Linked DNA regions of Saccharomyces cerevisiae S288C. The protein of the gene in region 1 binds, or shares a complex with, the protein of each later gene. Each region holds a gene or a part of one and is shown on either strand. Other genes may lie near its edges. A codon is read from its position in the direction of its gene.

The links.
Region 2: the proteins of MSN5 (region 1) and GSP1 are in contact, whole or in part, in a cryo-EM structure (PDB 9D45), measured with the Saccharomyces cerevisiae proteins. Residues at the interface, in NP_010622.1 of Saccharomyces cerevisiae: Leu13 (codon at 4,139), Ile16 (codon at 4,130), Tyr17 (codon at 4,127), Pro19 (codon at 4,121), Asn23 (codon at 4,109), Arg26 (codon at 4,100), Gln27 (codon at 4,097), Gln30 (codon at 4,088), Leu33 (codon at 4,079), Asp34 (codon at 4,076), Lys37 (codon at 4,067), Ile58 (codon at 4,004), Tyr61 (codon at 3,995), Phe62 (codon at 3,992), Lys73 (codon at 3,959), Arg103 (codon at 3,869), Tyr104 (codon at 3,866), Glu107 (codon at 3,857), Thr111 (codon at 3,845), Ile166 (codon at 3,680), Glu169 (codon at 3,671), Leu174 (codon at 3,656), Arg242 (codon at 3,452), Glu245 (codon at 3,443), Arg278 (codon at 3,344), Asp329 (codon at 3,191), Glu332 (codon at 3,182), Pro336 (codon at 3,170), Ile434 (codon at 2,876), Gln437 (codon at 2,867); in NP_013396.1 of Saccharomyces cerevisiae: Arg31 (codon at 1,070), Phe37 (codon at 1,052), Lys39 (codon at 1,046), Ile45 (codon at 1,028), Gly46 (codon at 1,025), Val47 (codon at 1,022), Glu48 (codon at 1,019), Val49 (codon at 1,016), His50 (codon at 1,013), Asp64 (codon at 971), Trp66 (codon at 965), Glu72 (codon at 947), Gly76 (codon at 935), Leu77 (codon at 932), Arg78 (codon at 929), Asp79 (codon at 926), Gly80 (codon at 923), Tyr81 (codon at 920), Ile83 (codon at 914), Asn84 (codon at 911), Arg108 (codon at 839), Arg112 (codon at 827), Val113 (codon at 824), Glu115 (codon at 818), Asn116 (codon at 815), Val126 (codon at 785), Asp127 (codon at 782), Val128 (codon at 779), Lys129 (codon at 776), Asn145 (codon at 728).

The regions. Positions count from the first base shown.
Region 1 is NC_001136.10:1,139,331-1,145,342, reverse strand, and holds MSN5 (karyopherin MSN5), read right to left. Parts: upstream 4,176-6,012; coding exon 501-4,175; downstream 1-500. Other genes in the region: translation initiation/elongation factor MRX8, read right to left, coding at 1-251; chromatin-remodeling protein SWR1, read right to left, coding at 4,867-6,012.
Region 2 is NC_001144.5:720,271-722,945, forward strand, and holds GSP1 (Ran GTPase GSP1), read right to left. Parts: upstream 1,161-2,675; coding exon 501-1,160; downstream 1-500. Other genes in the region: Sec63 complex subunit SEC72, read right to left, coding at 1-100; ATP14 (F1F0 ATP synthase subunit h), read right to left, coding at 1,729-2,103. UniProt on the Saccharomyces cerevisiae protein: GTP-binding protein involved in nucleocytoplasmic transport. Required for the import of protein into the nucleus and also for RNA export. Essential for cell viability.

The sequences.
Region 1 (6,012 bases):
TTAACCTTATTTATATCAGAGTTAGATGGCTTTTCGTAATGTATGTTAAAAACATCGTTTAGTTTTAGCCAATTCGGAAGCCTTTCTTTTGGCCTACTATTAAGTTTCTTTTTAAGAGCTGTCTTGGGAACTTTTTTTTTAGCTTTTTCAACAGATAATTGCGTGGCTAGCGTTGTTCTTTTAGTGTTAGCAACAATGTTTTGTATAAAAGCCGCCGGTGTATGCACGTACCTCTTACACAGTTGTTCCATTGCCAATGGTTTCCTATTTCGCTAAAATATTAGGGAATATGTGAAGAAAAAATCTTCAGAAATACCTTGTTCAGACCCACATTAAAACGCTTGATTATATGCATATTTACCGGCTGCCGACTTTCATTAAAAAAATTGCGAATACAGAATTTTTTTTTTCACAATAATTACAATTTTTAGCACGATTCAGATGTCTATTTGCTTTCTCTAATTTCATCTACACATCTACGTATATATGGCACCTTATTATCAGTTGTCATCAAAGAGATTACCCACAGCACCGTCTTCAATGTTCGGATCATCCAGCATGTCTCCGTTTTCTTTATTCTTCTTAATTAATCTCTCATTTGCCTTCTTGAGGATAGCTTCCCTTTTCTCTTGTCTTTTTCTCTCATCGCCTGCATGGTCCACATTACCATCTTCTTTCCCACTGGTGGATTTAACCCAATCTATAAAATCAATCATGAGTGCCCTTTGTGTTTTGTATTCGTCCACGCTCCTTAAATTTCTGTATAACTCATCAATATTATAACCATTAGATATCTCAAAAAGGAACGCTCTAGCAGAGGGATATTCTTTGCACAGAGTCAAAAAAATCACAGTGAAAGCATATAGTGCCTCATGGAAAGAATCCTTAAACGCACTATTACACAGCACATTTAGCAACAGATTTTTCATCACTTCAAATGTGAAATATTCATCCACCGTGTTGTTTTGATTAAGGACTGAGGTTAAGCAGCATTTCATTACTAGGATGGAGTTAAATGAACATTTTGTATCCTTGAAGGAAATTAAATGGTTCAAAAGTTTCAAAAATGGAGCAAGGGTGTTTAAATCATTAAATATAATTTTTCTCATCTCCATTTGATGGTTATTTAGCCTGCTTTTAGCACTGTTTGGATTGGCATTGCCTTGACCAACACAATCAATTACTATTCTAACAACAACTGTGGTTAGTTGTCTCAACAAATTCTCTTCCAAAATTTCTTCAGTCATTTGATCATCGTCAGTTGGAACTGGGTTCATGTCCATATCATTCATATGCGAGGACCATTTCTGACATAGCAGCAGGTCCAGGATTTCAAATAATTTAGGCAAAAATGCGGGCATGAATTTCCCCAGACAATCTTTTGGACAACCTTTTAATATAGGACGAATGGCTATATTCATTATGTGTTTCCATCCATGTGTTGAAACTCCAGGGCTTATCTCATTGCTACCTGGCTTAAATATGGCAATAGAGTTCAGTAGTAGGTCGGGCGATTCGTCCAAAAGGTAAAAAACACTACCAAGTGATGATATGGCACTTAAAACAAGTAGAGTGTATTCCCTTGTATACCTAATGATGTGTCCTACGGAGTCGGCGAAGTCTCGTAAGGTTTGCATCGCTTTCATATGTTCATCAATAAACTCATCCTTTGATTTATTTGAAGCTCCGGCCTCCCAAAATCTTTCAATAGTGGAATACTTGACGAAGGATTGCACAACCGTAGGTAATCCTTTCCAATTATCTGGATCGTGGTAGGATTGCAATTGGTACAGTAGTCTCGTGATGTAAGGTAATATTGGGACAATCCTAGGTCTCCACAGATCTTGTAGCATTTTGAATTCTTCATCTGTCTTTATACTTTGCATTGAATAATGAATGAACATTCTTGTTGCACGAACAGGAAACAAGCTTTGCCAACGTTTGGTCAATTCCGACTTCAGCTCTTTACCCTCATCATCAATTGGAATTGATAAAAGGTCACTATTTTCGTCGATATCACGCCTCTGGAAATATTCTGCGATCTGAACAATACCTAAGCGTTCCATAAACCAATGCAAATCAGAAAGACCAACAACTGTTGTTTTATCAGACCAGGCTAAAAGTTCTGGATCCACAATAGCCGCAAATCTTTCCTCTTTCATATCTAATGAAGACTTCAATACAATGATCAATAAGAAGGATTTGAAGGAAATTTTTTCATGGTAAGATAAGTTGGGCATGATTCTGGCAATGACACTTTCAAGGTCTGGGTATATTTTTTTCAGAGATTCGGGCATTAATAAAGCCATCCTATTCAACTCGATACCACAAGCATATCTCAAATCTCTAACTGCGTCTGATTCAGCGCCTCTCTCTTCCAAATTAATTTCTGGATAGTCCATCGTGGCGCTTGTTATGATTTTTTCTAAAAGTGTGAAAAGCACATTATCTTTTAACATTGTCAAAAAAAGTGCAAAATTTTGGATTTGTTTCTTCAATAACAATGGTTCTCTTAAATTTAATGCAATTAACTGGTTTGACAAAATTTCCAGTTTTTGTAATATGGAATCTAGTTTTTCGTCATAATCATCTCCTGTTGGATACCAGATCTTCCATCTTATACAACCATTGATGAAACATTCAACAATCATGTATTGGGAGAGGGCACCTAAATAAGGCTCTAATTTATGGTCCAAAAATGTGGAACTTAAGACCTGCTGACCAAATGGAGAGCTGAAATAATTGTTTAATCTGTTGTTCAACCAATCATAAGTAAGGTCTAATTCGACGCAAGAAATCAACCTAATGATGTCTCTTATTCTTTTCCTATAAGTGGAACAAAATGTTTGAAATTCGGACTTGGATTGAAAATCAATCTCCGCAAATTTTTTGGAAATATGACCATCAATCTGTTCATAATAGACTAAAGCATCCGCGGCAAACTGTAGTAGATCAGGAATGACATATTTCTCCAGCTTGGGTAAGTATTCATCGTTTCGAAGACAGGTACACCATAGGTCTAATGTTAATCCGCTAACGATTAAGCTTGGGTTATAAGTTGTCTTTAATACAAGCTTAAAATATTTTTGAATTTGGCCATTTGTCTCCTTAATCTTTGGGACACAAACATAGAGACAACTGATCATATCCACGAACTTTTTAATTATAGGATATTTCGTTTCATCTATATCATCTGTAGGATCAAACAACAAGCTTTCATAAACGCTATCTAATAAGTCCATATTATCAAAAACTCGATCTATGGTCATTTGGTAATGGCTTTCATTACTATAGGGACGGGTCAACAGAATATGTATCGAGTCTAATGCCATTGACTGCGCCCTTGGGATATTGCTGGATAAACAAGTCAATAAGGAGGATAACACGTCATTTCTTACAATGACCTCTGTTAATGGCCAGTTTAAACACGTCTTCAGAGTTTCTAAAAGCCTTATGATGTATTCAGAATTATTCTGTTGTAATGCATTATTCAACTCTGGAATCCAAACAGAAAACCAGCCCTCTTCATTAGCTTTAAATTTGGTCCATTTATCACTGAATTTGTATTTTATTGCGAAAACTTCAATAGGGCAAACAATCATTACACATAAGGGTTGAATAACCGTCATCCTTTTCAAAACAATTAGGTCGTCCAACAAGAAAACATCTTCAAAAAGGATTCTGAAAATTATTAATGCTAGTTCTCTTGACGATTGATTTATGTTCCAAAGTTCGAAAAGGTTATTGTCCATGTCCACCCAAGATGTGAGTAACTGTTCTTCCGTAGGGTTTGTCTGCTTAAGAGCCTCACCCCATGTTCTTTTTGCCACCTCTACCCATAAAGTGGCTAATTTTTCCTTAATATATCTGGTATCATAATCTTGCACCCCAAAATTAAGTTCCATGACCCATTTTCTCAGGGCCACTCTTTTCCCCTCGTCATAATCATTCCAGTTTTTCTTCACTGCATGGTCTAGTAATCCTAGTCCAAAGTATTTCAATATAGAATTAGTGGGGTTTTGCAATGCAATTTCGTAGCCCCAAAAGGGCGATTCTGAGCATAATTTCACTTCATCTAAAAATTTCTGAGCTTCTTGCCGTTGAGAATTGTTAGACTTGGGGGAGTAAATAACATCTAGTGCGCTAACAATCTGAGAAGCGCCTGTGGAATCCATTACTTTTCTTCCAATCAACGTTAGAAAAAAAATTTCAGATTCTAAAAATTCAAAAAGTGATTAAAAGGAAGAAAACAAAATATACTATAAATAATTTCAATAGTTTATCACAGTAACAATTGCTACACGAATGTAAAGAGTGAATATGGTTTTTAATGGCTAATGCAATGACACCTTACGTTCTCGCCTTGTTTATTTTTCTGTTTTGCTCTTCTTCCGATCTACAAAACTTGAACGGTTGCAACAAATAGGGGGATCTAATCAGGGTGTACTTAAAAGAACGGCTCTTCTACAGGCTCAACGAATAAAGATAGGCTAAAAACACACACGCTCGTCACTCCAGCACCTCTGTTCAATGGAATCTTGCTCTTAAAACTCTTTGACAAATATTACTACATCAAAAGCTTAGTACTCTTGAAGTCTCTTTGGAAAAACCAACCTTGATCGCGCAGCAATGTGGCAATGCCCCTCCGCTGTGGCGCGCCGCCATCACCCGGTAAATAGAAATTGGTGACCAAGGAACAATGCCATGGTGAGTACATTACCATAAAAACCAAGAGGCGATAGTGTTGTCGGAAATAATAATACAATTTGTTGATTCATTATGGCTATATATCATTAAAATATTCACAATAGGTATATAGTCCGATTTGGACAACTAAGGCAGCGGTGAAGAGTAGAACCTGGTCCTTCAATAATAATAACCGTTGGCAATAAACCTGATCATGTACTCGTCAACATGGGCAGTGCCCTCATACTCATCAAGTTCAGCATGATTTTCTTCCTCTTCATTAGCTGCTTTTTTTTCTGTGCTTTCGTCGAAATCGTCATTGTCAATTTCGACTTCTCTCATGGCTAAGTTTGCAGCTTTAACATCATCCTCATCTTCCGCTTGCGCAAGAAGTCTTTCCAGTTGTCTGGGATCTTTGGCTGCCACATCTGCATCTGCTATTAGTGGTTTATCTCCACCTGAAGCATTTTCGGGCAATTCGGATCCCAATAAATCTCTCACCGAAAGTTTGCTGAAATAATCTGTTGTGAAGTCACCCTCTTGAATAACAACATTATCCAATTGTCTTTTTTGGTTGGCTTTTTTTAAGATATTGCTTTCTATGGTATGTTCGCTGACAAATCTGTAAATATGCACATCTCGAGTCTGTCCAATTCTGTGACATCTATCTTGACACTGTTTGTCCATGGCTGGATTCCAATCTGAATCGTAAAAAATAACTGTATCTGCCCCAGTCAGATTGATACCTAGCCCTCCTGATCTACTTGATAGGATAAATACCGTTATTCTTGAGTCAGTGTTGAATCTCTCTGTTAGGATTTGACGGTCTTCGATCTTTGTGGCACCATCTAGTCTCATATACAAATAACCATGATAGTTTAAAAACTGTTCCAGAACGTCCAAAACTTTTGTCATTTGTGTGAAGATAAGTGCCCTATGTCCATTGTCCTTCAGCTGCTGTAATAAAATTGCTAACTTCTGCAATTTACCACAATCGTATTGAAGCAGCGATTTGTCCGGGAATGCGATTGTTAATTTGGTTTGCAGTTGGTGTAATGGGTTGGATACTTCAAAACAGTTCTGCATTACCTTTAGCCTTGTGTTTTCGCCTACCGAACTGTCATCATTTAATCCCAATGCCAACTTTCTCATATCTAGTGAGACGGCACTTGGGGTTAACACTGCAAAGGTATCTATGATCTTTCTATTATCCAATACCCTGGTTTGCAAGGGTTTTATTAGTTCATTATCAATAATGCTTGATTTATCATATTTAACCCTTCTATCTTTCGTTAATAGGTCAATAAGGTTCTTTCCGAATATGGG
Region 2 (2,675 bases), on another chromosome or scaffold:
GAACATTTATTTGATCGATATTAGTTTCGGTAGATAGTGCAACAACAGCATCACTCGCAGTGATCAGTTTACTGTTTGCATTGTATTCAAGGGTAACCATGGTTGAATAAGCTTGCTTTGGTATGCCTTTAACGCAAGTTGAAGGAGACGTTTCTTTGATTTTAAGGCTATTGGTTTTATGTTCAAAGATATAATCTAATTGTTACGTGTGCTCCTACATCCGTTTGAAACGATCCATAAACGATCTAAAAAATATAATATTAGACAAGCCAAATACGTTTAAATATACTTAAATCACAGCATATTCACATTCAACTATTTGTTATATATTTAAATCTGTTTTATAAAAGACAGGAGTACCAGTTAGTTTGTGTTTTCTTGTTGCAATTATAAAATCTTCAAAATCATGTGGATTTTTATTGAATTTCTATATCGAGATGAATGTAAATATGTATACAGTTTAGGGTAGGGAAAAAAGAAAGCTTGTTCTCGTTTGTCCCTTATAAATCAGCATCATCTTCATCAGGCAATGGCAAAGCAGTAGCTTGTTCCATTTCTTGTTGGTATTGTTGCATCAATTGTTCATCGACTTGGACTTCTGGTGGGGCTAAAGCTGGAGAAGCAACAAATTCTAATTGTGGGTTACCAGCCAATTTTCTGGCCAACCATAAGAAAGGCTTTTCAAAGTTGTAGTTGGACTTGGCAGAAATATCGTAGTATTGCAAGTTTTTCTTTCTGTGGAAAGTGATAGTCTTGGCCTTGACCTTTCTTTCTTTGACATCGACCTTGTTACCACACAAGACAATTGGGATGTTTTCACAAACACGGACTAAATCCCTGTGCCAGTTTGGAACGTTCTTGTAAGTAATTCTGGAAGTAACATCGAACATGATGATGGCACATTGGGCGTTAATGTAGTAACCGTCTCTTAAACCACCGAATTTTTCTTGGCCGGCAGTATCCCAGACATCAAATTTAATTTCACCGAAGTTGGTGTAAAAGGATAAAGGATGCACTTCGACACCAATGGTGGCGATGTACTTCTTTTCGAATTCACCGGTCAAATGTCTCTTGACAAAAGTGGTCTTACCAGTACCACCATCACCGACAAGAACTAGTTTGAATGTTGGAACTTCACCGTTAGCAGCTGGGGCAGACATTTATAATATAAATGAGTTTATTTGATTTTCCTTTTGTACTGGACTAAAAATCGATTGAGGGAAAAATGTTGAAGGAGCAGTTCTTCCTGTTTAAAAACGAAACAAACTTAAAAGGTGAGGAAAAGTTGATCATACAGTTCAAATTTTTCAAAATCTTCGCCAAAGAAAAAAGAAACGAAAATTTTTTTTCTATCTCGGTGGGATGAGCTTTCGTCCAGAGCGATATTATCCTAAGGTGACGAACCACGCATGTCCTTCATAAACGGATCATTATTTATTTACCAAAGAAGCGTAGGTCATACTTAGAAAGTAATAGTTATTGAAATAAAAGAATAGTAGTAATAGGAAAGATAAAGACGTGTCTATGTACAATTGTATTTTTTGTTTAAAAAATAAATTCTGCATTTTGTGTGGCTGATTACAAAGAGTGCGTAGTGTATTTTGCTTTTTCTTTATTGTACTGGATTCGAATATAAAAAGATGAGAGGAAGAAAGCCAAAAATAATGATCTTGTTCAGCTTGTGGTTCTGTTTGTTTTTTCTTCGACAAGGAGGATGCTATGAAAAGTTCAATGACTTTCTTTGGTTTCCTCAGCATCATCCAAAACTAGCCAATCCTCTTCAATTGGCTCTGACTCACCCTCTTCAGACTCTTTAGCAACATGAGCAGTTTCTACATTTTGCTCGGTGTAAGCCTTTAAAGCCTCTGGGCCTTGAAGTTCCAATTCTGGTAGATTTGGTTTTTGTGGTGGGTTCCAAGGCTTAACATTACCTTCAGCATCTTGCAAGGTACTTGGAGCCAGTTTGGTGTCTTTTAGTTCCCTCAAATACAAATCTTGTATGACGTTGTAGGATATTCTTGTGGTAGTGAAATTTCTATTGCACAGTCTCAATGGCAGAACTGAAGCATTGAGCAGTATTCTTCTGGAAGCGATAGGGAACATTTTGATTAGGACTGGTACGCAGACGGTTCAAGTTTGTATGGACTGGTGACTGGTAGATGAACCTGTATATAAGTTAACACCCCTTCCTTATAACATCTGAGCAGTGGGTTTTTTTTTTTTTCTTTGATATTGAGGACAAAGGAAGAAGTTGGTTGGTCGGGTAAAAGAACTACGCTTTTTTTATGATGCATAATTGGTTCGTGTATGGCGATATGAGAATCGGCAATCAAATACAATACCAACATACTTGTTTTACATAATAACAAGCAGTCTGGACAAGCTTGATAGACTAATAATCTTGAATGATGTTTAAATGCTTTTTCGAGGAAAGCGGCATTTGAAGATAAGCGCAAGTTCTCTTACAATAAGCTCGATTTCAATAAAAACAAGTGTGTATGCACAAGAGGCAACAGAACGTCAATGCCCAGAAAATGAAGTATTTCGGCTTTTCCTTCCAATGCATTTTTTTTTCATTAGAACGCTGATCAGCTGTGTATAGTTTAATTTTATTCTCATTTTCATTTTACAATTTTAAGAGCCGCCGAGGCCTAGAACGAGAAATCCGTTTCCCG